4 linked regions of the Alligator mississippiensis genome follow. The protein of the gene in region 1 interacts with the protein of each later gene in a pairwise test. Links are inferred from orthologs where the notes say so. Each region holds a gene or a part of one and is shown in the gene's direction. Other genes may lie near its edges. The genes, in order: MAL2, TPD52, PTPN9 and ARFIP2.

The links.
Region 2: the proteins of MAL2 (region 1) and TPD52 interact in a two-hybrid assay, tested with the Homo sapiens proteins (2 studies listed by BioGRID and IntAct). The link is inferred for Alligator mississippiensis from reciprocal best matches to the Homo sapiens genes MAL2 and TPD52.
Region 3: the proteins of MAL2 (region 1) and PTPN9 interact in binary tests that used the Homo sapiens proteins (3 or more experiments, as listed by UniProt). The two-hybrid records come from large-scale screens. The link is inferred for Alligator mississippiensis from reciprocal best matches to the Homo sapiens genes MAL2 and PTPN9.
Region 4: the proteins of MAL2 (region 1) and ARFIP2 interact in binary tests that used the Homo sapiens proteins (3 or more experiments, as listed by UniProt). The two-hybrid records come from large-scale screens. The link is inferred for Alligator mississippiensis from reciprocal best matches to the Homo sapiens genes MAL2 and ARFIP2.

Annotation. Positions count from the first base shown.
Region 1 is NC_081826.1:23,438,649-23,446,444, reverse strand, and holds the start of MAL2 (protein MAL2), read left to right. Parts: upstream 1-4,792; 5' UTR 4,793-4,840; coding exon 4,841-4,972; intron 4,973-7,796. UniProt on the Homo sapiens protein: Member of the machinery of polarized transport. Required for the indirect transcytotic route at the step of the egress of the transcytosing cargo from perinuclear endosomes in order for it to travel to the apical surface via a raft-dependent pathway.
Region 2 is NC_081826.1:54,103,364-54,110,805, forward strand, and holds the start of TPD52 (tumor protein D52), read left to right. Parts: upstream 1-4,438; 5' UTR 4,439-4,677; coding exon 4,678-4,801; intron 4,802-7,442.
Region 3 is NC_081834.1:28,032,290-28,039,740, reverse strand, and holds the start of PTPN9 (tyrosine-protein phosphatase non-receptor type 9), read left to right. Parts: upstream 1-4,443; 5' UTR 4,444-4,675; coding exon 4,676-4,708; intron 4,709-7,451. UniProt on the Homo sapiens protein: Protein-tyrosine phosphatase that could participate in the transfer of hydrophobic ligands or in functions of the Golgi apparatus.
Region 4 is NC_081824.1:483,430,562-483,437,396, reverse strand, and holds the start of ARFIP2 (arfaptin-2), read left to right. Parts: upstream 1-3,817; 5' UTR 3,818-3,907; intron 3,908-4,066; 5' UTR 4,067-4,073; coding exon 4,074-4,172; intron 4,173-4,256; coding exon 4,257-4,365; intron 4,366-4,661; coding exon 4,662-4,777; intron 4,778-4,856; coding exon 4,857-5,078; intron 5,079-5,200; coding exon 5,201-5,358; intron 5,359-5,535; coding exon 5,536-5,710; intron 5,711-6,572; coding exon 6,573-6,728; 3' UTR 6,729-6,835. Other genes in the region: DNHD1 (dynein heavy chain domain-containing protein 1), read right to left, coding at 4-247, 568-1,035, 1,215-2,031, 2,277-2,387, 2,472-2,675, 2,800-2,931, 3,026-3,066; TIMM10B (mitochondrial import inner membrane translocase subunit Tim10 B), read right to left, coding at 3,192-3,371, 3,453-3,548, 3,632-3,667. UniProt on the Homo sapiens protein: Plays a role in constitutive metalloproteinase (MMP) secretion from the trans Golgi network. May have important functions during vesicle biogenesis at certain cargo subdomains, which could be predominantly utilized by secreted MMPs, such as MMP7 and MMP2.

The DNA of each region.
Region 1 (7,796 bases):
TATTAAAATAAAGCTATCAAACTGGCTGTCAGAAAAATCTCAATATCCTGGTATTTGAATGCTGATTTATGATATCTGCTAGTTTAAATGTGACATTGGTGTACTGTTACCAGTAGATTACTGAAAGAAAAGTCTATGAGGAAGAAACTAAAAGGCTTATTTCTAATCTTACTTCGTGCCTGTTTTATGCTAATTTGATTTCACTGACTTCACTAGAGCTACTCCAGTTATTATCAGAATCATAGTTGGAAGTACAAGACGTATGTGATATGAATCCAAGTTTAAACAAGGCAGTCTAGATCCGCTGAAACTGGCAGCTGGTTTTACATTTTTTGCTATATTAATAATTACCAGATTAAGGAAAGCAAAAAAAAAAAAAGTTCTGCAAGGCTAAAAAGGACCCAAAGAGCTTTCTTGTTATTTTTCTACAGAAAGAGAAAGTAACTGGAGAAGACTGTCCTTATACTTCCGAAAAAAAACCCACATTGAACTCTGCTCTATTTATTTTAATGAAGCAGTGTGCACAAATCTGACTGTGAGCAAATATTGCCAGCATTTGACTCCTAGCGACGACCATGTGGGTGCCTACTTTAAAAAAAGAGAAATACAGATAATATGCCTTATTTCTGGGAGCCCAGTCCTTGGTGGCCTTTGTTTCACCCTGACACTGCAGGATGAAACAAAGAAATCAGAATAGCTATACATAGTCTCCAGTGGTCTTGGGAGAGTTCAGTAATGTTTATAAAAGTTCTTTGAACATGAAATCTGATATATCATTGTTATTACTACCTGCAGATATCTTTAGCTGCAAATCAGGAAACCTTATACCATGTCCAGGTGATAAGGAAATATAATGCAGATTTATGGCACACATAATATTAGCTGTCATATCTCATGATCATTGCATTCACAAGGGAGATATAAAAGCTGCGCTGCTTTTGTCCAGCCCAGTAGGCATTGCCATGTTTCACAGTTAACATGGCAATATTTTGTGGTAAACACTTCAGGGAATTGAGAGGTTTGTGACAAGCTGTCTTCTCTATTAGGGTAGACCATAACAGAGGTGCCTAAAAGATGTGATATGTAATATGTTATGCCTTAAACTTTGCTATGGGCAATGCCACATGTCATAAAGGATTATAGTTTATCTTACGTTTTGCATAAGCCATTTCTGTTTATGTGGTTTGGATCAATGGATCAATATCCTTTCTAAACCTACAAAGCTTACAATTCAGCATTAACTAGCTTCCTACAACACTTCCACAATTCTCTTAGGCTCTCTCACAGCTTGGAAAGACTACAGCAGGCCGAAATGCAAATATTTCAAATATTTACACATATGAAGCGAACTCTACAACATAAACACCTGCTTAAGTCTCTGAATCTAACTGATTAGCATCCTAACATTTAAAATTCTTAAAGGATTCAGACTTTTAAAACAGAACAAAAATCCATTAGAATCTGCAAGCATGTAAACTGTCACAAAAGACCATGTAAAACAGAGGCGAGCAATTATTTCGGGTAGAGGGCCACTTACGAAGTTTTGGTGAACTGTCGAGGGCCACATGGGTAGCCCTGCCCCTTGACAGTTGCCCCACCCCCAGTCAGACACCTGCTCTTGGCTGTGCCAACACACAAATTTTGCATGGCAAAAATCATACCAATCTACCAATACAGAACATGTTACTTATTGGTGACCAAACAGCTTTTTAGAAATAGCTCTGCCTCTGGCATTCTCTCTCAAGCTGCAAGTATTGACAATATCTACTGGTATGACGTTCCATTGGACCAGCTGGTACTTAATACTTCAGTCGAAGTTAGAGCAAAATAAAACTTGAAAGAAGGCAGTAAGCCAAACCCAAAGTTTCACAACTGCCACTAATGACCCAAATTCATCAGGAGCTCTGTGATAGTGTGAAACAGGTCTGCATCAAATTGTGAATTGTTTTTAATTTGAATCTCCTTTTTGCATTAGTGCTGAACATGTCAAAACTTGTTCAAGGCAATTTATTTTAGTGCCCTGTGGACAGTCCCTTTCTAATGAAATATTCTTGACATTTGACATTGGTGAAGGACAGCCACTAACAAGCCAGTCTAAGGCAGCTGATTCTGATTGTCCCTCAACTTTTGGCACCACAAACAATGGGCCTTCTGCACAGAAGCCGGTAGGGTGAGCATCACTGGGTGAAAGGGAAAATTCCCAGTATAACTCATGTTTAGCGACAGGGTCTAACAGAAGGTGTTGTCCTGTAGCAGGTGGGGGAGGGCTAACATGCATCACAGAGAAGAAAAATATGCAGGAAAGGAGAGTGCAAAATGGATTTGATCCAGCCTGAAAAACTGACAAACCACAGATTGGGAGAAAACGTGGTATTAGAGCAGTGGTCTCCAACCTTTTTATGGTGAAGATCACTTTTTGGAACTAAAGGTCACCCCAGGATCTACTGTGTCCCCCTGGCTGCCTTGCCCCCCTGTCCTGCCCTGCCCCGCCCTGCCCCACTTCCCTCCGCCCCCTGCCCCATGCTCCCCTGGACCATGGAGTGTCCCAGATCCAGCTGGGCCTGATCCCCCTTCTGTGCTGCAATTGCACTGAGTTGCACCTGCCCAGCAGCCAGAGAAAGGTGGTGTTGGGCCCTGGCTTGGCTGGGTCTGAAAGTCTCCATGGTCTGGTGGTCACTGGGGGAGGGCATTCTTGCTGCTGGGTGCAGCGTGGCAAAGAACCCAGGGGCCAATGTCCCCCAACCTGCGCTGGGGACAAGGTGGCTGCTGCTGTGGGTTGCCTGCTGCACCCCGAGCACAGGTGGGAGGGGCACGGGCTGTCAGGGCCTCCACCAAGCTGTGCCCAGCGGTGGGAGCACCCCCCACGCACCCTTGGACGACCAGATCTTCCCAGATCTGGCTGGGCCAAGACCACCCCCACGTGAGTCCCTGCTGCTGAGCTGAGCCGCGCCTGCACGTGGCCAGCTGTAGCAGGACTTGAGGCACAGCGGCAGCAACCTCAGCCGCCTCTGCCCCCGCAGAGATGGGGAGGGAGCCCCAAGTGCCACTGGAGGAGCCTCCCTGGGCTCCAATCCTCCCACCACCTGGCCGGACTGGGGCCCCACTAACCTTCCCCTGCTCCTGGCCGGCCACAGTCAGCCGCTCGCCACGGAGACCTCAATCTGGCCCCTGCCCCTTCCCTCCCCCACAGATTGACCTGCTGGGGCTGGGGGCAGTGGGTGTGCACAAGTGCACATGCCCAGCTTTCCCCCCAACCCAGGATCTACCAAAAGAGGCTCTGGGATCTACCTGTACACACAGGGTCTGGACACGCCCAAAAAGTACATCTATAAGCCACGACAGGACTCAGCTGGTCTGAGACTGATACTGTGGGATACATGGCTGCTGGACTATAGAGTCCCATATCCCAGTGAAAGGCTCAGAAGAAAGATTTGACCCTGGGGACATATTGTGTACACAAGAGTTGGAAACAGGGACTAGATTGAGTCCAGACCCAATTGGCTGAAACCCATGTGTGCCCAGTATTTGGGCCCATTTTCAATACATGATCCTACGGAGAGGTACTGGTCCAGGCTGCATCATTCATTACTTCTGAAAAATCATGTGTCGCACCCAAAAAACTTAGGAAAACTTAAAACTTCAGCTCCTGCCACCATGAACATACTGTAACCTCCACTTTTTTTGTTTGTGCTGCTTATTAAAAAGTAGATCACACAGAATGGTCATACAGAAAACGATCTTAGAGAAAAGCCTCTGTAACCAGAAGGTAAATGCCGTCTCCTCCAAAGTTTAAAGTTTCATGATCTATACACGGACCTGGCGTTTTGCAGGGGAACTGACTTGTGACTTCCGAACGCTCGGCTTGGCAATACCATTAGACCTGTGATTCTCACCACCTTTAGACCCGAGACACCCCTGGGTAGACTCAAGGACTCTCAGCGAACACTCTTCTCCCCGCCCTTTCCCTAGCCCCAGTCTCTGTCCCTCACTGCCGCGGGAAGGCATCCCTATCTGTTCCACTGTAAACTAGGTATGCTTTGTGCAAATTCAATGTAGGTGCTGTTCCCCAGGAACCAGAGATGATCCAAGCAGGGTGCGTGGCCCAGGGCAAAACAGCCTGTGCCGGGCCCCGCTCCTGGATGCAAGAAACCAAGCGGAAGATTTGGCAATGGGGGGAAGGGGGTGGAGCTGGCTCTGCAGGGCCCCCCAAAGCACCGGGCCTGTGGCAGTCACCCTGATTTGTGCCCCCCCGTCCAGGGACGGCATCTACGGCATAAATTGAAGGCAACATTATTGTGCCAGTCATCTTCAGGCGATGCTATATGTACCCTGTGTGAAGAGCTCGAAGGCCACCAGGCAGCACAGTAAACACAATGGGGGACAGGGTTTGAACTTGCCCGCAGGGGCACGTGTTGGCACTGCGAGGGCCCCCCTCCGTATAGGCCTGAGGCACGGCGATTTAAATGCATAGCTTTCACAGATTTCATAATAACGCAGCGGGCTGCAACAGCAGCCTCCAAGTCCCCGGAGGGGGCTTGCAAGAGGATGGAGCCGGGCTGCTGCCGGCGGTGCCGAGGGCAGAGCGAGGAGCGAGGGCTCCAGCTGCAGCCAGGGAGGCTGAGGTTGAGGAGGACGGTGGCGAAGCAGGCGGGCGAGCTGTCCGCGCACGGTGCGGGATCGCCGTCCTCGCGGGCTGGAGCCCCGACACCGCCGCGCCGCGTGGGCCGGGCGGGGCCGGGGGCGGGAGCGGGAGCGCCTCCCCCCAGCACCTGCCGGCACCTCCCCCGGCGCCGCCCCGCCCCGTCCTACCTGGGCGCAGCCACGTCCGGGCCGCAGCGGGATGTCGGCCCGCGGGGGAGCCATGCCGCCGCCCCCCAACCCTGCCGCCTACTTCCCGGCGCCGCGGGTCACGCTGCCCTGCGGCCTCGACATCCTGCGCACCTACTCGGGGGCCTTCATCTGCCTCGAGATCGTGAGTCGGGACCGGGACCGGGACTGGGACGGGGGGGAGGCTGCCGCGTCCCGCCACCGCCACCGCCGCGAGCGGCCCCTGCGCACGGGGCCCGGGGCAGGCGGGGGGGACGGACACGCGCGACCGCCCGGGGACACGGCGCGGGCACACGCGTCCACACGGCGGGCGGCACACGGCTGCGTGCGGAGTAGGCGCGCCTACGTGCGGGTGCACGCGCCTCTCTACCTGCGTGGTACACACACACACACACACTCCCGCGCCCTACATACAGAGTGCAGGCAGCTACATGTACACAGCAGGGTGTGTGCACTCCACAAGTATGCGCACCCTTCTACCCACGTGGTTCACACACACACACTTCTACATACAAAATACAGGCACCGACATACAAAGTACACACTCTTCTGTGTATAAATTACACACACCCTTCTACCTACATAGTTCACATGCGCACACTTCTACATACAAAGGGCATGCACCCTTCTGTGTACAATGTATGCGTGCCCTTCTACCTATGTGGTTCTCACACACACACACACACACACAAAATATGCACATCTACATACCGAGTACACGCACCCTTCTGTGTACAAAGTATGCGTGCCCTTCTACCTATGTCATACACACACACACACTCCTACTTACAAGATACAGGCACCTACATACAAAGTACACGCACCCTTCTGTGTACAAAGTATGCATGCCCATCAACCTATGTGGTTCACACACAGACACACACGCACACCTACAAACTGCAGACACCTACATGCAGAGTGCACGCACCCTTCTGTACACAAAGTATGCACAACCTTCTACCTATGTGGTTCTCTCACACACACACACACACACACACACACACACACTTCTACATACAAAGTGCAGGCACCTTTATGCAGAGTGCACGTACCTTTCTGTATACAAAGTATGCATGCCCTTCTACCTACATGGTACGCACGCACACACTTCTACATACGATATGCACATGCACACTTCTATATACAAAGTACAGGCACCTACATACAAAGTACACGTATCCTTCTGTGTACAGAGTATACGCACCCTTCTACCTACATGGTACGCACACACACACACCCTTCTACATACAAAGTAGAGGCAACTACATACAGAGTACATGTACCCTTCTGTACATAGAACACACTGTTCTACCTGTATGGTACACATGCACACACTTCTACATACAAACTGCAGGCACCTACATACAAAGTGCACACACCCTTCTGTACTAAGAACACACTGTTCTACCTATATGGTACACACACTTCTACATACAAACTGCAGGCACCTACATACAAAGTGCACACACCCTTCTGTACTAAGAACACACTGTTCTACCTATATGGTACACACACTTCTACATACAAAATGCAGGCACCTACACATGAAGTGCACGCACCCTTCTACATACAAAGTATGCGTGCCCTTCTATCTATGTGGTACACGTGCACACACTTCTGCATACAAATTACAGGCACCCTTCTGCATACGAAGTATACACACACATACATGTTTCTACATACAAATACACACATATGTGCTTACATTTCCTCAGCCTTCTATCTGCACGCCCAACTTTACCCAAGTGCCCTCACTGAGCTCACTGGGACAGGTCAGGTCCTTAGAATTAAGCTGGAGCAGAAGGGTTTTCAGCTTCGCAGCTGTGATTACTAATTGAGCATGAGAGCCTGGGGAAATGTAGGTTACAAGACTAGAGTCTTACTTACAGCTGCAGATTTGAGTCGACTGGTCTAACCACCAGAGGAGCCCTGTACACACCTGACTTCCACCCTGTGGCTTCTGTATGTGTGCAGTCCTCCATTCTCAGGCAAGTCAGAAATGACCCTGAGTTAGTTAACTCCTTGATGGTTTTGCCAACCAGTGTAATACGAGTGCTGTGCCTTGCTTTAGTTCCACTGGACAGGTGCATTATCAGGGAAATCATTGTCAAAGTAGATACTAAAATTAGTAACCGTGATGCCAATCTCAGGGGTGGGATGCAGTGGAAAGACTGTGTGGCTATTACCCATGAAATACCTGTTTTCTGCAGAAAGGATTTGAGACTCCAGTGCCATGTTACTGTAGAAGGAAGTAGGTTTTCTCACAGCAGATGCATCATGAAAAGAAACTGTTGAAAATAGCTTGAAGGCTGACAGACTAACCTGTGAAATTGTGAATTCAGGCTGCCAGTGCATCTTTACATCAGATGTATTGGATTCATATATGCTGTGTTTTAATACCACAAAGGATTTACCTGTTCTTACTGGAAATTGAGCCAGGCCCAGATTAAAAAAGAAACTAAGCAGGCTTTCCATTGAAGTTCTTGCTATCTGGAAAAAAAAAGGAAAATTGCTTCCAGCTTCATGCCTTGGGAGGTATACACTGGAAATGGCCACTCAGCCTGAATTTGATCACTGTCATTACTGCCCATTGTCTTAAATAAGGTCTTAACTATTAAGCTAAATTAAGCTTTCCATCTTAAAGAGGATATAGGTTGTAGCCATGTTGATCTAAAGACATAGGAACACTTTCCAGTGGCAATGGTGATTTTAATGGGTATCTTTTGTTATAGATGAAGACATATTCATTGTGATCAATCAGTATGCTACAATGACATTTGGGAGGGCTAAATTCTGCTCTTTGTTACATAAGCTTAAGTGCAAAGAACTTGGCCTATCTCTTCCTTTTACTTAGCCTTCCAGATCCAGTCTGCCATCGCTTTTCTAACCTTAAAATATTTTACTTTTCATTTATTGCCTTTTATCCTTTTGTCCAAATGTCATGTGCCTAAAGGAAAATAAGAATAAAC
Region 2 (7,442 bases), about 31 Mb from region 1:
TATAATGCTCAGTGCAGGGCTGGGGAGAAACAGCGGCGGCAGCAAGTGAAATGGCGAGTGACTGCCAGCGAGGGCAGCAGGCGAGTGGGATCTGCTCCTGCACGTGGTGCTGGAGCGAGCAGGGAGGAGTGGCGGTGGTGAGAAAGGGGGAGAGGAAGGCGGTATGACCGCGGAGCCTGGGCTGGTGCCCAGGGCAGGGTGGCAGGAGCACAGCAGGAATGTTGGCGGCAGCAAGAAGGGGCAGGTGGGCAGGGGGCATGAGCATACCTGGTTTGGCAGGGAGGCGGGAGTGGCAGGCCACGTGTGCATTATCCCTGGACGCAGTGGGGCCAGGACTGGACCCGTGCCGTGTTCCAGTCACTCGCTCGTCCACGGGCATGGACACCTTCATGAGCCTGCAGCAATCTGGCAGTGGCAGATAGTCCCAGTGCTGGGTGTCCTGGAGGGAGCCCCTGCTAGGTGGAGTGGAGTGCGAGTGCTGGCAGGCAGCTGGCCCCACTGCTTCCCCCATGCCGGCTGGAGCCTCGCTGCCTCCTTGCTGTAAATCCCTGGCTGGTAGGGCCCAAGGCGGGGCAGCAGGAGCATGGGGTTTGGGCCTGCAGGTTGTGTGGAACCAACTATATTTATTTACATTAAATCCTGTGGGGAAATGGGTTTCACTTAATGCTGTTTTGCTTAGCGCTTGGTTTTCCCAGAACCAATTAAGAGCGCTAAGCAGGGGTTGCCTGTAGTGAATTTGTGGAGTAAGGAAAGGAAGGCTGGGTTGCATTGGGTGCGGGGATGCTCTTCTAGGTCAGAGGCAGGGAGTGGGAGTAGGCCAGTGGAGTGGATTGCTCTTTACTTTGGGGGGTGGGAATTTGTTTTGTGACACTCAACTTTTAAAAATTAAAACAAATTATTAAAATAAATTTCTGTTTTTACTGCTGTAAGCTCCCATGAGCCCTTTCTATGGAAAGGGCAGCATAAACCAGTAAAAATAATCAATAAATTATATCAAGGGAAATCATGACTTTTTTTTTTTTGCTTGTGTGTTTCTGTTTTAGACCTACCTAATCGTCATGGACTCCAAGGGAAAACCAACTCTTATTGAATCCTCATGCTGAAATACCCAGAGGATGCTAGTGAAATCTTGCTTTAGTTCTGTGTACTCCTTTGATGAGAACAGTTTATATTGGAGAACAGTTCTCTGTGCATGTTGGAAGACTTATACTGATTGACATCTAGAATAAAAGTAGGCAAATGTAATAAGCTTAAAACTTCCCTTAGAAAACTACTTTTACTTGACTTTCCTCCATATTTCAAACCATCCTTCATTCAGCCTCTCTCTCCCATGATTGCTGAAATGTCAACATCATATTCCTATCAGAAAACTTAGCAATATAGTTTTGCATTTCACAAGTCCAAACAATGTTCTCTAAGTATGCTACAGCCCTGCAGATAAGAGGTGCAATAGATTGAATATGCTTTTTTCATACCTACAAGTAGGTAGTCTGGTGGCTCAAACAGGACCATGGTTTATGGGTTTTATGTGGTAAAATGACAGCTGAAGACATATATCATTGTGCACTGTAAATTCACTGGCGGGGGGGGATAAGGGAGAAGCAAAGAAATGTTTATAAATTTGCCATGCCATAACTGAAAACTGATTCCAGCAATCAATGTAGTGAAGTTCTGGATACCCTCAACTGTCATTTTGTAGTAGAGGACAGACAACCAAACGGGAGGGATGTTGAATCTTTTCATGGGTAGGAGCCACTGTTTGAACAGTTGGACTAAGATGTGAGCAATAACAGTAGATTTCATTCTGAGGCCTATACTTTAGCCAGGCTTTAAGAGGCAGCATAATAACGCTTATCAATAATAATAATAATTCTTTTGTGGGGCTACATAGTGTGCAAATGTTTAAGCACCTGTGAGGACATCTGCAAGATAAAGGCTTAAGCAGACCTAATTTCTGCCTTTTGGCCCCCAGGCTCTGTGTTGATGGGAACCCAAAAGCCTCACTAAAGAGCTGCAGCAAGTCAACAGCTGTGAAAACAAATCTGTATAAATTGGGGGTCTACAACCTGTGACCCACAGGCTCGATTTGTGTGGATGTCCTAGCACCTGTATGCATACCTATCTGGTCATCTCTGACTCCAGGTGGAAACCCTACATGTTGCATCTCTGCTTCCAATAGCTTCCAGTGGTTCCCCAATCCAGGAAAAGAGCTGTGGTAGGGCATTTTAAGGATCAATGTCTTTGGCTTTGCAAGAGCCACATCAAGCTACTTCACAAACAGCATGTGGCTTACAAGCCATGGATTGGCTGGTGCTGACTACAACCAACTTTAATCAGCAGCGAAAGCTTCCAGTTGCATCTTCCTGCCATATACTTAACAGCTGCCCCAACTCTTTGGTCTTTAGTGTGGCACTTAACTCTGACATGGTAAACTTAATGGTAAAAAACAAACTAACAAAAAAATACCCTGCTTGCTTTCCACTCTCCAAAGGCATTTAACCCCTACTCTTCTCCCTTTTCCCCACCCTCCCCTCCATTCCTCCCTTCCTCTCCTGCTTTGTTTAACTGTATTTTCCTTTTATTCTCTAGAAATTCCTTTCATCCAAGGGGAACAATGTGTGTCTCCTTCCTTTTTTTCTCCTCCCTTCTCTGTGGAAAAAATACTCTGCCCTTTCCATTTGCACAGAGTTCCTCTTAGGAAGCGCTTTCTTTTCAACTCACCCAAGAGCTATCCCTGTTCATTCTGAGGAAGGCAGTCAGTCATGGTTGTCTCCCGCTGGCAGAGAAGTGTGGGTTATACCTTACTGTGTAATCTCACCATGGTCCTGTGGCTCTAATTTTAGCAGCAGTTTCTTTCCCCAAAGACAATTTGGCCTTTGTAGAAATGCTACGTCCCTGGAAGCTATTGGAATCTGGCGCTTTAGTTGGTTGAGGGAGAAATCTGCTCAGAAAGAAAGAAAGTTCTTCAGTGGCCTGGTAGAACTCCAGTGGAATGAGAGCATTTGGGTTCCACCATCACATGTTCTTGTAAATACCATGTTTATACACTTGACATGAGGGCTAAGTACAGATAGTCAAAAAGCCCAAGGTTGAATCAGTTCAGTCTTTGCAGGTTAGTCTAAGCCGCAGAGATTTAACTGAGAAATAACTGAACAGATATTTACTTTTGACTCGGGAAATACAGCCACATGCCTGCAGTAGCTGAGGCCAGAAGCCAGGGAGGCTAGAGCATTGCTTTCTGGCACATAGCCAGCATGGGCTATGTGTTCGCTTCCTTTTCCTGCTGCCCCTGATGTCTCTGGGATTTCCAGTGCAGACTCACATAAGCAGAACTCTGCAGGGTTGTTCATCACTTCCTTTTCCTGCTTCCAGGTGCCTCTGGGATTTGTAGTCCACAGTTGTGGGCCCCCAGTAAGTTTAGCAGGGCAAGGCAGCTCTGTACTCAGGAGAAGTGGGGTTTAACCCTCCCTCTCCCCTGCATCCTTCTCTGCTGGAGCAGACAGCCCAGCCCAGACCTGCAGAGCATGCTGGGGGGTTGTGATTTAGCTTGAACCAGGAAGGGGTCTGGGACAAGTTCCATAAAGCGGTTTGACCCAATCAGTTAAGTCTGATACTGCATTCAACCAGGTTTATCTTTAAGCCAGTTTCAGCCACTTTGAAACTGGTTTATGTGCTCTGAGCTTCCGTTCTATGGTTTAAACCAGTTTCTGATCACTTAAACTGGTTTATGTGTAACATCTGTCCCTAGCCAAGATGGTTGAAACAAGGAGGAAGATAGTTGTACTGCTAGTGGGGCTTTTCTACAGCACTCTGTCTTTCTGTAACAGACTTATGGAATGTCATGGTACAGGCCTTAGGAGGCAAAAGAGAAGCTGCTTTGTTGCTGCCCTAGCTATCAAAGCTCCGAGAAACAGAATTCATACAAGTGATGGGGCAACCTACCTTATCTTGAGAAAGTTGCAAGCGTGTACACAGCCCTTTCCTTAAATGAGTCTACTTATTTTAAACCCTAGAGACTGGCGCTATATTATAATATTGCTAAGCTTGCACTAAGCGTAATGTTTCATTAGTAACAACAATACCTGGATTCTGGCTGACGATTGCCACACCAAAAATAGCAAGAGAAATGGGGAAGCTGCACATTCAGAACTCTTTTCTATTAAGGAAAAAGGCCAACACAGATGGCACACAGGGTGGATTATGGCTAGTAATCTTCTTGTGTCCTAGAAGATTAAGGATATCCTGAGGCAACTGCAGTCAGCTGACATTTACAGTTAAGTGATTGAAAATTCCTGATGTAATTTTGCAGCAGAGCAAGACCTTCCAGAAGCCTGTGCATGCAATATGCAGCAAATGTTTGTTGAAGGAACGTTCTGTTTTTTTAAACCCAGCCCAGGTTATAGATTTACAGAAACATAACTGCGCACTGTGTGGACTGTACCAGCTACGACGTGGGAAGAAGTAACTTATTAAATGGGTGTAGTGAACCCAATCATTAAAGAAATCTCAAAAGTTGTCTGAGGACAGCGCCGAGTTGGAAGGCATAGCATCTCTAAATCATATGGCTTGAATTTTTGAGGGAATGGGGCTATGTACTGACAATTGGGATGAATGCTTCTCTGGGTGCTGAGATAAGAAGCCATGCAGTTTGAACTAACTGGAAAGGATTGAAAGGATATGGATTCATATGAGGATTATAAATCGCCATTTGACTTCAATGCTGGAGTTAACAGAAACTACCTCTATCTGTCACCAAACGTGAACGTCTCTCCACCTGAATCACCTGCATTGAAGAATTCTGGTAACTTCTCAATCTGTTTTTTGTTTGTTTTGTTGTTACTTTGTTGTATTTCTAAAAGAAAAACAAAACTTTTCTGCAAAAAAAATATTATTGCTACATTTGCAGCAACAGCAAACAACTTCTGGGCCAAATTCTGTCCTGAACCACATTTGAGCAACAGTACAGAAACTAAAAGGGTTGCGTGGTATAAATAAGGACAGTTTGGCTTGCTATTTTAGATGGAATAAGTGGTACTGGGATGATTGGGGAGGGGGAGTGGAAATCTTGGATGAACTGATTGTTGTACATGATATGACTCAAATTAATATACCTGTGAGAATTGGCACTTCCAGTTCTTACTTTTAAACAGGTTTTTATAAGTAAGGGTAATACAGAAAAGCTGTGTGGGCTGTCCTAAAGTAACAGGTGGTGAAATTGAATCTCAAACGTGGGAACACTTTCTCCAGACCAGGAATTACCTTTGTCACTTATAACCCATTTTGCAATTAAACCCAGAGTGAAAGGAAGTATCAACAAACAGCCAGTTTTTTTGTAGCTAATCCCCCCCCCCCCCCCACACACACAATAAAGCATACTTCAGTTTAAAATACCTGTGCTCTTAAATGCTGTTCATAGTTGTTACTATTTATCCTGTGACAAAGTATTGCTCAGTTCCAGCAGAGATGCCCCTAATATCTTTAAATGATATCCCCACATAGTTTTTTTTTTTTTTTTAAATACAGTAGGCAGGCTTTCATGTACATGCAGATACTTAACTGTACTTTATGGCATAAACAGCAGTTTCTTTTGGGATGAATATTTATTTTGGGGCGGGGAATAATTCTGCTAATGGAGCACTGAAGAAGCCTACATATTACCCTTGTTTTAAACTGTAAATAGGTTTTTATAAGTAGGGTCAGGAAGTGCCAATTTATATACACACCTCAAACACTTGTATACTGTTTCTCCAACCCAAGAATGACCTTTTATTACTTCCCTAACCTATTCTTGATTCTGCGTTCCTTCCCACCCACAAGATTCAAGATTCAGCTTGTGCCTAATTGTTAGCAGTGAGGAAACCCAAGGTAGAGGGATTTTTTGTTTTGTTTGTTTTTAAGACATTCTGCCAAAGAAGTTTGACTCTAGAGAGTTAGGGAAATATAACAAATGAGTGAAAGCTGAGGAAGAGAGTGACACAAATGTTGAATTGGGTTTGCTATATTAGATTTAGTGGCTTCTGGAGAAAAGACAGCTGTTTGCTACCTTCATATTTATTTAAGGTGAGAACAAAGACATTCTAGATGTGCCCAGCAGATTTATCCCACCCCCTGTAAAACAAGGGAAAGGAGACTTAGAAGATTCTCTCAACTTTACTTTTCTCTGGCATTACAGGAAACTCTTCAAACCTACTAGCTTTTGTTTATGAAATCTAAACCAGCAATATCCTCTGCAGTCACATACGTAGAAATCTTTACCAGCTTTGTCTGCTTGGCAGTTGAAAGAAGAAGGATTGGTTAAGGTTCATCGATGCAGCTATATTCTTAGATTGATGGGCAGCAGTGGTGTCTGTCATAGGATTTCACTTTCTTATGAAAGCATTCCTATGTCTGGGCACTGAGGGCTGTAGGGTCCTCTTCTCAAAGGGGAGTCCTCCCAGCCCCAGTCACAAAGTCTTACAAAATGGCTAGGCTTCCTTGGTCACAAAAGTAAATAGCTTATACCTTGCAGTCTATTTTTAAGTCTTGGGTGGGGGTGGGGGTTGGGCTGTTTTTTTTGGGGGGGGGAAGGGGGAATGAAGAACAAATTGGGAGGGAAACCTTCAAGCCAAAAGGCAACATAGTAAGATGGTTGAGAATGTGGGGTTTGGAACTGGTTGGCACTAACGGTGCTTTGATTAGTAGATTTTCTTAACTTGCTAACAAAAATAGATTTCTCAAGCTATTGGAAGAGATAGGTTTCAAGCTGAATGACCCCTTTTGGCTCAGTTTCAACAAGATTCACTTCTCTTACTGTTGGGTAGTTAACTCACTTGGTCCTGTTTTTTTCCTTTTATCTTCTGACAGGTCTAGTTGCGTTGACAAAATGTATTTACTTCATTTGTTAAAAGTGACACGTGGCTTTAAAATTAACTAGGTTTCTAAAGGAATGCTCTCATCTCATCCTTCTCCTCTGCAAGCAACTTTATTTTTGTTTTAGGGACTGTTTCTAGTCTGACGAGGACATTGGTTTTCAGTTTGGTCTAACTTTTTAATCATCGGTGAACTAACAGGATCTCCGTATATAAACTTGAAGTAACCAACTTGTAAAATATAAGCAGACTAGATAGCTCTGCAAACTCTTAATAAAGTTGTATTTAAATATGTAAGAATTAAACTGTATTCTTGAACATGGACAGTTGGAACTGGGTTGGGTCAGTCACTTGCTAGTGATATTTCAGCATTGTTTACCCAATTTAAATGAAAAGCTTTTTGCCTGCTACTGGGAAGCTAATTCGCTAAAACTCCAACTGTATTATAGAGAGGCTGGTGAAAAATCCTTCATTATTATCCTTAGTTACCCTACTGCTCCTCATCCATACTGCAACACAAGAATGTCACCTGTCATAGAACAGCAGCACTTTCAGGAAAGTCAGATGTGTTCCTTCTGCATCAAAAGAATTCAG
Region 3 (7,451 bases), on another chromosome or scaffold:
AGGGAGCCTTGTGGGTAGCAGCCATCACTTATTCCTTCCTCCCCATGACTCCACACTGCCAACACCCCCCCCCCCCCCCCCAACTGGGCTCCATACCCTGGATTTCAGTGGTGGCCCCTGCCCTTGAATTCCTGGTCTCCCAAGAGCCTGCAAGCCAGATGATATAGCTCCAGCATGCAGGCCATATGTTTGATACCCCTTCCTAAACACACAACTGTAGTAGAAAATGCATGTGTTTTAGTTTCAGACAGCCTATTTGAATTAATAGGTGGAGATGAAATTTTATCCTGTAAATACCATTGCAGATTGTGTTCCTGATCTCCAGGGAGATACCTCTGTATGTCTCTGAAAAGAAATTGCATCCGGTACAGGACGTGATATACACCCTGACAGCAGGAAGATTCTGTACACACAGCAGGTCTATTTATCTTCTTGCCCCAACTCTACAATACCCCCATTCTTTCCAGAAAATGCTGGTTTCTATGCTGGGAGTTTGGGAGGCTCAAGATCACTTGATTGGAAAGCCATTGTTCGTAAGAGAGATGGGCAACAGTAATGTAATAACTTCACTGGAAATTGCTTGGAAGAGCTTTGGCCTACTATACCCTCTTTCTTCACACACAGCTAGGAAATGACACCCCGGGTGTGTGAACAAATTCAAGTGGCTTGAATGTTCCTCAGATGATTTCACACAGCTGGTTATTATTAGTGTGTGAAGAAATGGGGGGGGTGTGGCTGAACTATTTGCCTTTCTCTTTCCCTTCATAGTGAGAAGGGGGGGAGCATGCAAAGGAGCAAGTTGGCCTGAGACACATGGTTTAAATCAGGTCTGTCCAAGTCATTTGGCCCTGTGTGCTGGATCCAGACCACAAGTCTCAGGGGCCAGATGGTCCATCTCTAACAGCAGGGCAGCAGTGGCTCAGTGTGGCTGTTGGAGTCACTGCATTGGTGCAAGTCTGGCTGCCACTTGCTCTTCCTTTTCCCCTGCTGTTGATTTGGTCACCAACAGTGACCTAAGACCCCAAAGTTAGCCCGGGTCAAGCAGCAGAGTTTTTACCGTAGACTCAAGAGCTGCTCCAGTACAGCAGCTCTGACAACTGCATCAACAAGCCCCGTGGGCTGAACAACTCTGGCTTAAACCAGTGGCAGGTTCTGCATGTTTACAAGAACACTGCTCTCTGTAAGCTGCAGCTTCAGGTGGTAGAATTAGTGTGCTGGGGGCCTTTGCCTTTAAGCTGGGTGATGGAAGGGCCTTTCTTGACCTTTCCTGCCTCAGGCAGGGGGTTAGACTAGATGTGTTCCTGAGGTCCCTTGCAGCCCTACTCTATGATTTCTATGAACAGTTGCCTATTGTATAGCAACAGATAAAAGACCCTAGGTCATTACTGAGTAAGCGAGGGTGCTATTCCGATTGCACTTGGAAGATCTGGATCAGAGTTAGCATCCCTCTGGTAAAGGCTGGGAAAGCTGCAGCTCAGATTGCAATTGGATGTTCTGTCCTTCACAGATCTTTTCAAGGTCCTGCAGTAGAGAGAGGGTAGTGAGCAATGTGGAATACAACGGCAGATAAAAGGGCTGTATTGGCTGTTGTCTCTGATGGAAGAGGGAAAGCAAAGCTCTTTTCATATATTACAAAGAGGCCCCATCCTGATATTGCTGCATAACTCTCTTTAAAAATACCATCCAGGCTCTGAAAATATTGACTTTGCAGTTAAGGTTGGAAGTGAAAGTGTGTGGGGAGTCACTGCAGCCAAAGCAATTTTTTCCATAACTCTTATTTGCTGGGCGTGATAGTCTTATCACTGTGTTCTCAGTCCTCCTCCACACCCAGCATGCACCTGTTCCCACTACCTGTAAGTGGTGACGTGTAAGTGTGTCAGATGCCAACAGTCTGCTCAAGCAAATGCTCAGTAGAGTAGGGATGACCACAGCATAGCCTGTGTAAGTCTACAGAAAGAAAGTTTAGAGCAGGGGTGTTAAACATATGGACTGTGGGCCAGATCCAGCCCCAGGGTGCAGCTGAATGTAATGCCCTAGGTTAGAGGTTTCTTCATCCCCAACATAGTGCTGTAGTCCACAGTTGAGTCCCAGCTTGAAAGTAGAAAGGGCACTGTCAGCTGGGCTCTAGCTTCTACAGGCTTTGCTTCTATATAGAAGACAGGGGTGGTCGCACCTGTGCTCCGTTTTGTCAGTTAGGTGCAAACTCCTTGGTTGCGGGCAAGTTGCCAGGCCAGGCCTCATCAGCTAAATAAAATGTCCACCCCTGACACAGCCATGGAGGCCAGCTTGGATGTGGCTTTTTGACAGTGATGGTTGTTGCAGTGCTTTGACCTGCCCCCAGAGGCAGAGCGTAGTGTTTGTCATGCAATAATGCTCTGAAGAATGTTGTTAAAAAGCCCGTTGGCCTGCAGCTGTTCCCATATCCTTCCAACCATGGCTGCTGTTCATCTACAAGTAGAAACAGCCTCCAAGACTTCTGTTGCTGAGATGGAGACAAATCTTTGGTAAGCAGGGGGCTGAGGGGGGGTTGTGGATACTCTGGCTATGTCGTGATGGGTCCCGAAATTTCTTTCTGTTGTATTATGGAAGAATGGCACAGAAAGCCCACTGATCCCATTCATATTTGTCTCTCTTGTCTTCCTCTAAAACAGTGAGAATATCTGTGTGGGTATATTTGTTTTTATACTATTTATTTATAGAGGTCAAATACATCAATGGCGATGGTTTCCATGAAGTGCCGCCATGAGCCAGGGTGGCTGAAACCTCTGACTAGTGCCCGTTACAGTTCCTGGTCTGCCAGACAGTAGTTTTTATATCACCCAGCCCTGCCTGTGGGCTATAATAATAATTGACCAGGTGAATCACAATAACATTAAGGTGAATGTACCAGAAAAGCAAACATAATGCACAACATAAATCATTACAGGCCAGTGATAGCCATGGCACTCCACACTTAGGGGGAGGCCCCATCTTTGATGTTCAGCTTTTCAGACAGCTTTACTGATTTGGACCGAGAGAGTTCCTATGAGCCCATAATGAACCAGGGGCTTTGGTGTGCTAAACCCAGTAAAAGCAGAACAAAAGGAATGGTCCTTGCCCCAAAGAGCTGACAGTCAAAGTTAAGACAGGAACTGACAATAGGCCATGGGAATATTGACGGTAGTCATAAATCATGGGGAAGGTATAATCTGCATCTATGAGCAACACTTCCCCAAAGGAACAGTCATTCTGTACATCTGAGTTCTCTCTTAATGGCCACATACCAGAGAGGGAGATAATGGTGGATTAGAGAAATCTGTTTGATTCCTGGAGAAGGGTGAGTTGTGCAGTGTGTATTTTTTGCAGGACCTGAACTTGGGGGTTGAAATGATTTTTCTCGCATCAGATCTGAGTCTCTGGATGCACACCATAGCAGTCTACCCTAAACTTGTCTCTGTGGGTGTAGATACAGAGAGGAGGCATTTGATTTTTGACAAGAGAGCGCACATGAGGATGGAGGAAGTGATGTGTTCAGAAGCTGCATTCAAATCTGTATCAGATTACAGAATACAGCCAAGAAGCAGGGACCTATAGCTGAACTGGTGAGCCAGATCTTTGAGCCCAAGGTGACCTTTAGCTGTTTAGTTTCTCAGGACTTTCGCTCCTTGCTCCCCAAAATGCATTTTTTTCACATCACTCAGCTCCACTGGGGGCCCTAATGTAGACAAGGGACTTGCAACTACTAGCATTTTAACCACCATATCCTGGAGATCATCTTTGCATTAGACAGCCTGGTAGGTAAAACACTGACAGCTGCTGGAGCATTGCTTATCCTAGCCCCTGATGCTCAGAGCAGAGTACCCACATTGTATGTACTGAATAGATCCATTGGTTTATCCTGCCCTTAAAAACAAAACAAAACCTACCTCTATGTTGGCAGACATTAGGGGGAGGGTTTTTTTTTTAAGGGCAGGGCAGACTGATGGATCTATTCGGTACATCCAACATGGGTCTGTATTTAAACCCCAAGGCCTTGACCCCAGCGCCAATAGCCTCCTAGAAAGAAGCTGCACCATTCACTGCCCGGCGTCCTGCTCCTCCGCTTGGAGTCGGCGTGGGCGCCCGCGATGTGGGGTGCAGCCCCCGGGCACGGCTTCCCCCGGGCACGGCTTCTCCCGGGCCCGCAGGCCCAGGGCCTGCTCCCCGCTGTGCCGGGACACACGCGGGGCCGCGAGGAAAGCCCTCCTCCTCCCCGCCCTACACCGTGCCCGAGGCTGCAGGCAGGGCGCGGGGGTTCGCCGGGCGCCTCCAGGGCTCCGCGGGCGCAGCCGCAGCCCGGGACAGGACCGGCCTGACCCAGCCCCCGGCCCTGCCGCGCTGTGAATGGAGGCGCGGGGGCTCCGCCCGCCGGCCGGGGGAGGGGAGGGGGCTGTGGCCGCCTCCTCCCAATCTCCCTCGCTCCGCGCCGCCGCCGCCGCTTGCGAGGCTCGGGGAGCGGCGGGGCCATGCGGGCGGCGCGCTGTGGTCGCGGCCCGGGGCGCGCGCGGGCGGCTCCACGTGGGGACTCGGGTGGGCTCTAGCCGTGGCCGGAGCCGGAGCAGCAGCCGCAGCCGGCGGCGCCGGACGAGCGGGAGGCGGCGGCCGGGCCGGGCCGGGCATGGGCAGCGCCGCGCCCCGCTGAGGCTGGGGGAGCGGGATGGCCGCGGAGCTGAGCCCCGAGGAGGAGCAGGTAGGACCCCCCCCGCCGACCCGCACCCCCCCCCCCCCGCGGGAACCCCGAGTCGGCGCGTGCGCACTGTGGCCCTGGCCCGGGGGGGCACCCGCGCCTGCTCCAGTGCGTTTGGTTGGGGCGGTGACGAGACACTTAAGATCGTTTCGTGCTCGGGCGGCTGCGTCCCCGCGCTCCGCTCCCTGCAGCCCCGCGCGAAGAAGAGCGGGCGGGCGCCAAAGATTTCCCCCCCCCCTTTGCATCCTCTGGCTGGCTTGAATGAACCCACCACCCTGAGGCACGATAGCTGGACCTTCCTGCCACCTCATGTGCTCTTACAGGGTCCCCCCAGCACCTGCTGCTTGTCCCTGAGCCTGTCACAGGCCCTACATGTGACCTTGGGGAGGTGACTTTGTGCCTCAGTTTACCCATGTGTCAGACTGGGATCTCTACAGCAGTGACTGGGTTGGGAGCCTGGTGCCTTGTTACAGGTGCCATGTGATGCCACTCCCTGCTTTGAAACACGCTGGGGCAATGATCTTTGTCTGGAATTGTTGCCTTGCTGCTTTTAACCTGCTGCCCCCCTCCCCCCCTTCCTGTTTTGTCCGTTTGGTTCAACTCTCGAAGGCTGGAGTGGAGATTTTTCTGCTTCCCACGCCCTGTCTCTGCCCATGACGTGCGCATCTTCCTGCCACCCTGTTGCGTCAATGCAGGAGGATGTTGTATGCTTGTAGACACAGACCCTCTGCTGTGACTTTGCAGGGCCCGGGGTGCTAACCTCATCCTGGCAGTGACCGGAGAGCTATTAGGGAAGTGTAAAGCCAGCCCTGCTTTTCCCAGGGCCCTGTGCCGACTTTCCTAAGCTGCATCTTTAAGTCTTCTACATCCACGGTTTCTGCCTGCTGTGCCTGGCCCTGCCTCTTTCCCTGCCCTGCTGTACTTGCTGCCTTCTACCTGCTTCTCTCAACTCCTCTCCTATCCTGGCCCTCTCATGGGACTGCCTTCTTTCAGTGCAGGCTGAGACCAGATGGCTTTGAGCAGTTCTCAGACCAGACAAGGAAGTGTCTCTTCTGCTAGTCTCGGGAGTGAGGAAAGGGAAATACTGCTTCCTCTGCTGACATAGAGACCAGAGCTGTTGTGAAAAATCCAGGCCTCCTCCTGGTTCTTGTTTCAGTGGAAATCAAGTCTCAGCCTGGCCCTGGTCTTGCATCTGCAGGCAGATGTTTGTGCTAGGCCGTACCAAAGTCAAGGCCATGGGACTGTTTGTACATTACAGTAGAAAGTTCAGCCTTGCAGTTGGCTCTTGTATGTGAGTAGAGTACAATCTCAGTCTAGAGATTTCAAACAGTAGGGGAAAGAGGCTAGATTGTTTAAATATGATTTTTTCAGACTTGCTTTGCATATTCAGAGTGATTTTCTTCAGTCCACCTGAACACCCTCTAGTGAGCGAGGTGGTATTATCCACGTCTTGCATTAAGACGCAGAAAAGCTTGGTGACTTGCCCTGGCTCCCACAGGAGCAATCCCAGCGCTGGGATTGGAACCCACGCTTTGTACCTTCCAGCCACATGCCCTGACTTCACCTCCATCTCTTCTCTTAGGTCACAAGAGAGGTTTGTAGTAATGAAATTTCAAGATAAGTTTAATCAGATCTCTGGCTTTAGGGCAAGTAATCCTGTCAGGGAGCAATTACCATGTCGCATCCTCAAACTGGTGGTCAGGTGCATTAGGGTGGTTTATTTGGTCTTCCTCTCAATCATCATGTAGTGCTTGCTGTTTCAGACTGACCACTGTTCTGATTTGATATAGCTGATCCTTTGTTCTCTTACTCTGCCGTTGTTTCAGAGTGAAATGCCTGTATAGAGTCCAAGGTGTCTTAAAACTCTCGTGAATGCACGTCTACAGTGCGAGAGTCCTTGGAACAACAGCAGAGAAACTGATGTGGATATTGCCCCTGTGGAAAATCAGAGATTGGATTAAAGTTTAAGAGCATGGCTGTAGATTATTTTGTTAACTTTCAACTCTGCAGTTGTAGACAGAACCTCATCTGCCTTAAGAGTTGCAGGTAAACCTCTTTCATCCCTGTGTCTGAGAAGAGACATCCTAAATGAATGTTGGGTTTAAGGAGCAGAAACTGTTAAAAAAAAATCTGGGCAGTGTTTGTGGGGCAAGGGAACGGGGAAGAAAAAGTGGCTTTTCTTAAGAGGAAAAAAGTAACTCGATAGTTTATATGTAGAATTAAAGCTAAAAGTACAGCCTACTTGTTTATATCTGGGAAGTGATCAGAAGATGCTGGTGTTAGAACAGAGGTCTGGGATTGCCCTGTAGCTGCCTCACATTCCTGCTGCCTGCCCCTGCAGCAATGCAGGCTGCCATTTTGATTCACTTTCCTTCAGCCCATATCATTCTCAAAAAGATCTGCTCTGCTCGCCTTCCACATCGCTCCCAGCAAGCAATTGGCACAGTTTTATTTGACCAATGCTGGCTCCCCCCCCCCCCCCCCCCCCCCCCCCCCCCCCCCCCACTGTTGCTGCTCTTCTCTTCCTTTTCCTGATCAGAACCATACAGGGTGCAGGGATCAGTATATGAAGACAACACGCTTTCTCTTTTCTTACTCTGTTAAAGGAATGGTCAACATGGTCAAACAGTATACTGAGTCACATTGGGGAAGGTGATAGTGGCAGAACATCACCCTTTCTGTATAGAGAACTAAGGCCCTGTCCAGTAGTATAATGTATATGGTTCAGTGTTAGATCCATTTCCTT
Region 4 (6,835 bases), on another chromosome or scaffold:
CACCGGTCTCCTGTTGCAGGCTGCTGCAGTCCACCAGGAAGAGGCGGTTGCGGGTGACGACGGCGGGCGGCAGGTCCTGCAGGCGCCGGGCCCAGGCGCGGAGCTGGGCCACGTGCTCGGCGTAGGTGCTGGGCGGCTGGCCCCGCATAACCTCCAGTGCTGTGGGGCTCCAGCCCTGCACGAAGGTGTGCACCTCGGCCACCCAGGCGTGCTCCCGGCACAGCTCCCGCGTCTCGTCCAGCGCCGCCTGTGACCGCAGCCACGGCTCAGCGCGTGGGGCAGGGCCGGTGCTGCCCCAGCTCCCACGCAGGGCACTCTGCCCGGGGTGTCGGGGCTTGGCCAGTGCTACCCCCTCGAAGGGCCTGCCTGGTCCCGATGGGAGGGCCAGGCCCCTGGGGCAGCTCGGGAGCAGCCTGGCGTGGGATGGGTGCCTGGGCTGTGGCTGCCCTGCAAGGGGGCAATGCAGCCCCAAGGGAAGGGGAGCAGCGAGAGTGGCCGCAGCCCAGGGACCATGAGTGCAGGGGGTGGGGGTGCGACCAGGTCCTGGCGATGCAGCCCCACACTCACCGCCAGCTGGGCCTGCTGGGTGGCGCGGGCCCCCTGGATGCGGCTATTGGTGCGCAGGTCCTGCTCCAGCTGTTCCCACGCCGGCTCCGGGTAGTGTCCGTGCACCCGGCGCCCCGTCACCTCCAGGCCCGCGAGGGGCTGCCTCAGGGCTTGCTCTTGTGTGCCCAGCACCTCATCCCACAGACTGGGCAGCAGCTGCACGGGGGTCCCCATGCTGCCCTTCCCCGCCTCCCAGAGGGCTGTGCATGGGGGGCAGTGTGAGCCCCCCGTAGCAGGGACCGGGGTGGCCCCTCTGCTGCAGCTGGGGGCAGGGACAGGACCGGGGCAGGGGAGGACCCCGCTCAGCCCTGGGGCTGCAGCAGGGTGAGGACATGCACCGGTCAGCGGGTCCAGGCCTGGTGCCATCCCGGCCTCCGAGGCACTCGACTCGGGCAGTGACCCCGGCTGCTCCTTTCTGGTCTGGCACACCTGTGGGGAAGCGTGGGCCACAGCGGGTCTCCAGGGCCTCACTGCAGCCCCCGCGGGCTCCTGCCATCCACACGGCTGCCGCAGGCCTGGGGCTGGGCCAGACACGACAGAGCAGCCCAGGGCCAAACGGACAGGCCCTGCAACCAGGGCAAGGCTAGAGCCGGGTGGAGGGCACTGACCTCCAGCACCGACTCCAGCACAGCATCCAGCGCACCCAGTAGGCTGTCCTCCAGCGCCTGGCGCGAGGGGAAGGGCGCCAGCTGGTTGTCGGCATCGAAGACCAGCTGCACCCGCAGCACGGCTTCGCGCCTGGCGCCGTCGGCCTGCGAGGGCAGGGGGGCGGTCAGGGCAGGGACGGCCCCAGAAGCCCAGCCACGGGGACCCAGGCCGGCACCCCCGCCCCGCACCTGCATGACGTGGCTGACGAAAGCGGCGACCTGGTCTTGCACCACGGAGACCAGGCTCTGGGCCACGAGCAGGTTGACAAGCCGGGCCAGGCTGCCCAGTTGCCCCAGCCAGCGCTCGGCCTCCCGGTGCCACCGCTGCATCCCCTCGCTTTGCAGGCGCTGCTGGTGCGCGGACCCCCCAGCCTGGGGGCGCCCGCACACCTGCGTCCCCCTCTGCAGCCCCCGCGCCATCCTGTACGTGTCATTGCGCACCTGCCAAGGTGGCCCCATGTTTGAGGGGCGGGCACTCGCTCCCCCAATGCCCCCCGCTTGCCTGCCCCACTGGACAAGGGGCGGTGCTGCAGGGGGTGCTGCACCCATGGAAGGGGCGTGCCGCGCCATGCCACGCCAAACCGGGCTGCTCGGGTGAGCGGCCGGCCAGGCTGGGCTCACCAGCTCCAGGATGGTGGTGTAGAGGGTAAGGAAGCGGGCCAGCAGGCCACGTGCGTGGCTCTTCTCCTGGACCAGGGCCCGCTGCAGCTCCGGGAAGCTGAAGCTGCGGGTATTGTCCTGGGGCAGCCAATGCACGGACCGCAGCTCCTGCAGCAGCCTGCACGGGTGGGTGGGTGAGCAGATAAGGCTTCAAGTGGGGGGACCCACCCCGCCTGCCATGGGGGACACCCAGCCCCCTGCCAAACCCCAGCCCCCGCATCATCCCCTCCCGCTCAGGCGAGGCCCTGCAGCAAGACCGTGCTCCCCCCAGCTGCCCCGGGCAGGGGGGCAGACCCCGGCCCCACGCGGCCTGCACGGCAGAAGGGCGCTTTGCAGACGGATCCGGAGCCCCGGCGCGCGCACCTGGAGATATGGAGCAGGGCAGCGCCGAAGTGGGGCACGGCCTGGAGCAGGCGGGCGCCCAGGACCGCCTGGCGCTGCTGCATCCGCAGGCACCGGGTGCCGCGCTGCCAGCTGCCGGATGAAGAGACGAGAGCATGGGGCAAGGCCCGGCTTGCACCCCGCCATGCCGTGCCCTGCCCCGGCCCCGACACTCACCGGGCAAAGGCGGCGCGCAGCAGGCAGCGGCGGAAGACGGGGATGCCGCGCAGCAAGCCCCAGAGCACGGCCTCCCGGTGCCACGCGCCCAGCGCCAGCGCCTCGGCCCCCTGCCCCGGCTGCACGTGCAGCACGCCGAAGGGCGAGAAGACGTAGTGCTGCGGGGCCGCCCTCGCCTTGGGCACCGCGGCCAGGCTGTACGGCCTGCGGGCGACAGCACGGCTAGGAGGGGGCGCCCCGGCGAGGGCGGCGTCGTGCCCGTCACCCCGGGGAGCCGTTGGGGGGGGGGTGCAGCCCCCGGGAGCCGTGACCCAGCCCCGCCCGTTACCGGTAGTGGCGGCCAGCGGCGACGTTGAGGTAGGCGACCTCCGTCCTGCCCAGGGGCTTGTCCCGCACCATCGCCTCGGCGGTCTGCACGCCCGTGCGGGGCGGCGCGGCGCGGGGGGAGCCCGGCCGGGGCCTGCAGGGCAGCGCGGCTGTGAGCGCGGGCGCCCCGCGCAGGAGCTGGACACAGGGACCCCCAGGACCCTCCGGGGCGGGGGTGGGGGGCTCACCGCGACGGCCCCGGGCTGCCCGCCCCGTCGGGCGGCTCCATGCGGGCGGATGCGGGGCCGTTAGCGGCGGCGCGGGAGGGGGCGGGGCCAGCGCGAGCCCCGCCCCGTCGAGGCCCCGCCCACACGCCCGCAGCCGACTCGGGGGAGTGGGGGGAAGGGGGACGGTTTATTGCGGCGCCCGCTGCAACACGTTGGTGTCGGTCCCGGTCCCGGTGTCGATCCCGGCGGCGGCCTCGAGGTCGGCGGCGCGGCGCTGCACGAGGGCGGGCATGAGCCGCACGTAGGCGCGCATCAGGCTGTGGTTGGCGCGCACCAGCTTGACCGCGCAGCGCTCCACGCACGAGTCCTGCGGGCAGGAGAGGGGGCGGGGTCAGCGCGAGGGGGCGGGGCCAGCGGGGCGGGGGCGGGGCCGTGCGCCCGCACTCACCTCGGGGTGGGTGAGCGGCCGGCAGTCCATGTCGGCCACGCAGCGCGCGAAGCACAGCTCGGTCATGCGGTTGTAGAGCAGCAGGAAATCCCGCAGCTGCAACGGAGCAAGGGTCGGACCAACGGCTCCCGCCTCCCTTACCCGCCCCATCCTGTCCCCCCTCCACCCCCGGCACTGACACTGCGGAGCTGCTGCTGCTCCGCCGACGGCTCCATGCCCGCGCGCCGCCACTTCCGCCCTCGCTCTGACGCCAACTCCGCCCCTACTTCCGCCCTTCGTCCGCGTCAGGGGGGGACTCCCTTCCGCCCGCGCGCTGGCTTCAGTATGTCGTCACTTCTGTCCGCCTCCCGGCGCCCCCTGCCCGGGCTCTGACGTCTATTCCGCTGTGCGGGGGGGGGCGCCGGAGCCGAGCGGGGATCGGGGCCTCCCGGGGGCACCCGGCGGCGCCGGAGCAGGTGCGGAGCGGCAGCGGGAGCGGGAGCGGGCCCGGGTGGGGGTGGGGACAGGTGCGCAGGGGGCGGGGCCGGCGGGGCGTGGGGGCGGGGCCGGGGACGTGGCCGCGGGCGCGGGGCCAGGATTGGGGCCGGCCGGACGCACCCCCCCGCCCCCCCCAGCCCCAGGATGACGGACGCGCTGCTGGGCAAGGCGGCCACCATGGAGATCCCGATCCACGGCAACGGCGACGCGGGCGGCCTGGCCGAGGACGACGGGCTCGAGCAGGTGCGGGGGGAGGGGAGGGGAGGAGTGGGCCGGGAGGGGCACTGCCGCGGTGGCGCTCACCGCACCCCCCCCCCCCCCCCCCAGGACCTGCAGCAGGTGATGGTGTCGGGGCCCAACCTCAACGAGACCAGCATCGTGTCCGGCGGCTACGGCGGCACGGCCGAGGGCATCATCCCCACGGGCGCCGGCAAAGGTGGGGGCCCGCGGGCGCCGGGGGGTGGGGGTCGAGCTGCCCCGGGGACCCCCGTCAGCCACGCTCTCGCGTCCCCCTCTTCACCCCGCGCTCGCCCCCCCGGCCTGGCCCCCCCTTCCAGGCCGTCCCGCACGGCCTCGCTGGCCCCCGCCACCCTCCGTGTCGCCCAGCGACTCCATCGCCAGCCAGGCCGGCGCGTCCGCAGGTACCGGCCCCCTCCGCCCCCCGCCCCGGACCTCGCCACCCCCCCCGCCCCGGTCCTGCCCCCGCTCACCCCCCCGCCCGCCGCCTTGCAGGCGCCGGCCTGCACCCGCCTCACCCGGGCCCCGCCGCCGCGGGCGAGGAGGTCGTCAGGGGCATCGCCGTGGAGAAGTTCGACATCGTTAAGAAGTGGGGCATCAACACGTACAAGGTGGGTCCCCCCCCTGGGGTGGCCGCGGGGCGGGGGGGGGGCGCCTGTGCGGCAGTGCTGACGCCCCCCGCACCCGCAGTGCACGAAGCAGCTGATCTCGGAGCGGTTCGGGCGCGGGTCGCGCACCGTGGACCTGGAGCTGGAGACGCAGATCGAGCTGCTGCGGGAGACCAAGCGCAAGTACGAGTGCGTGCTGCAGCTGGCGCGCGCCCTCACCAGCCACTTCTACAGCCTGGTGCAGACCCAGCACGCCCTGGGCGACGCCTTCTCCGACCTCAGCCAGAAGTCTCCCGAGCTCCAGGTACGTGGTGGAGCCCGGGGTCCGCGGTCTCCGGGCCCCGCTCCCGTTCCCGCAGCACGGGTGATGGCTGGTGCATGGTGGCGGCTGGGCGGCGTCGGCCTGACCCTGCGCTGTGCCCGCAGGAGGAGTTCGGGTACAACGCGGAGACGCAGAAGCTGCTGTGCAAGAACGGGGAGACGCTGCTCGGCGCCGTCAACTTCTTTGTCTCCAGCATCAACACCCTGGTCAACAAGACCATGGAGGACACGCTCATGACCGTCAAGCAGTACGAGACTGCCAGGTGTGGGAGCCAGGTTTTGGGCTTGGAGAGAGATGGAGGCCAAGGGAGGGGTGTGGGGTGCAGATGTCAGGTGAGGGGCGCAGGGGTAGGAGGGCTGGGATGCTAGGGCATGGAGGGTGCTGGGGCTTGGGCAGGTGGGGACGCTCTCTCTGACCCCGGTCTCGCCCCTATCGGCAGACTGGAGTATGACGCGTACCGCACGGACCTGGAGGAGCTGAGCCTGGGCCCGCGGGACGCCAGCACGCTCTGCCGCCTGGATGTCGCCCAGAGCCAATTCCAGAGCCACAAGGACAAGTACGAGAAGCTGCGTGCGGACGTGGCCATCAAGCTCAAGTTCCTGGAGGAGAACAAGGTCTGGCAGGGGGTGGGAGGGTCTGTTCACAGCCCCCGGAGCTGGGCTAGGGGCAGCGCTGGGGGGTGGCCACGGGACACGGCAATAGCTGGGCGTTGGGTGTGGCGGAGCCTGGATGCCGTGTGCAAGGGTAGGTGGGACGGCAGGAGAGACCTCCCTGGCATCAGCGAGGTGTGGGACGCGCCTAGGGTGGGGATGGTCTTCGGTGGGGGGGGTCCCAGCACAGACTGCACAGGCGCTGGGAAGGGGGCATTGAGCTGCAGCGACGCCTGGAGCGTGCGGTGAAAAGAGGCAGCGGGACGCCCCAGAGCAGCCCCCACCCTGAGCGCCCTTGGACCTCCCAAGGACCCTGTGCCCAGAGCAGGGGCAGGAGGAGGCAGAGCTGCACCCGGCCGGATCGTGGCAGGAGACGCACCCGTGGGGGGACACAGCTGGGCGCTCGGGCTGTGCAGTGTGGGGTGGTGCGGGTCCTACTGGCTGGCCCCAGGGTGTAGAGCGGAGGCAGCGGGTGTTTCCCAACCTCCGGGCTTTGCTGCTGCCCCGTGGGGTTGGGTGGGAATTGTTTCCACCTCTTGCTCCTGGGGTCAGGGGTTTTCTCCCCTTCCTCAGCAGCAATGGGTGCTGATGCAGCCCAGGCTACGGATGGGGACTGGACTGTGTCGATGCTTCTGCCAGGACCAGCCCTGCAGGGCCTTGCCACGCTGCACTGGGGGCAGGCAGGGGTTTCTCCCGGTCAGCTCAGGAATAGCCCAGAGGTGGCCGGGCAGCGCTGATCTGCCCAGATCAGGGGCCAGGCCCTCGACCCTGCGCTAGGCGGCTGTGGGGGGGCTGTGGGGCTGACCCCTGCCCCCCTCGCCCCCAGATCAAGGTGATGCACAAGCAGCTGCTGCTTTTCCACAACGCCATCTCCGCCTACTTCGCTGGCAACCAGCAGCAGCTGGCGCAGAGCCTCAAGCAGTTCAACATCAAGCTCAAGACCCCGGGAGCGGAGAAGCCCTCGTGGCTGGAGGAGCAGTGAGCACCCGCCTGCCGGCCGGGCCGCCATGGACCTGAACTCTGACCTCTGGCCCCAGGCCAGGCAGGCTGGGCGTGGTGGTGAACATGGGGGACGTGGCCAGGTCTGAC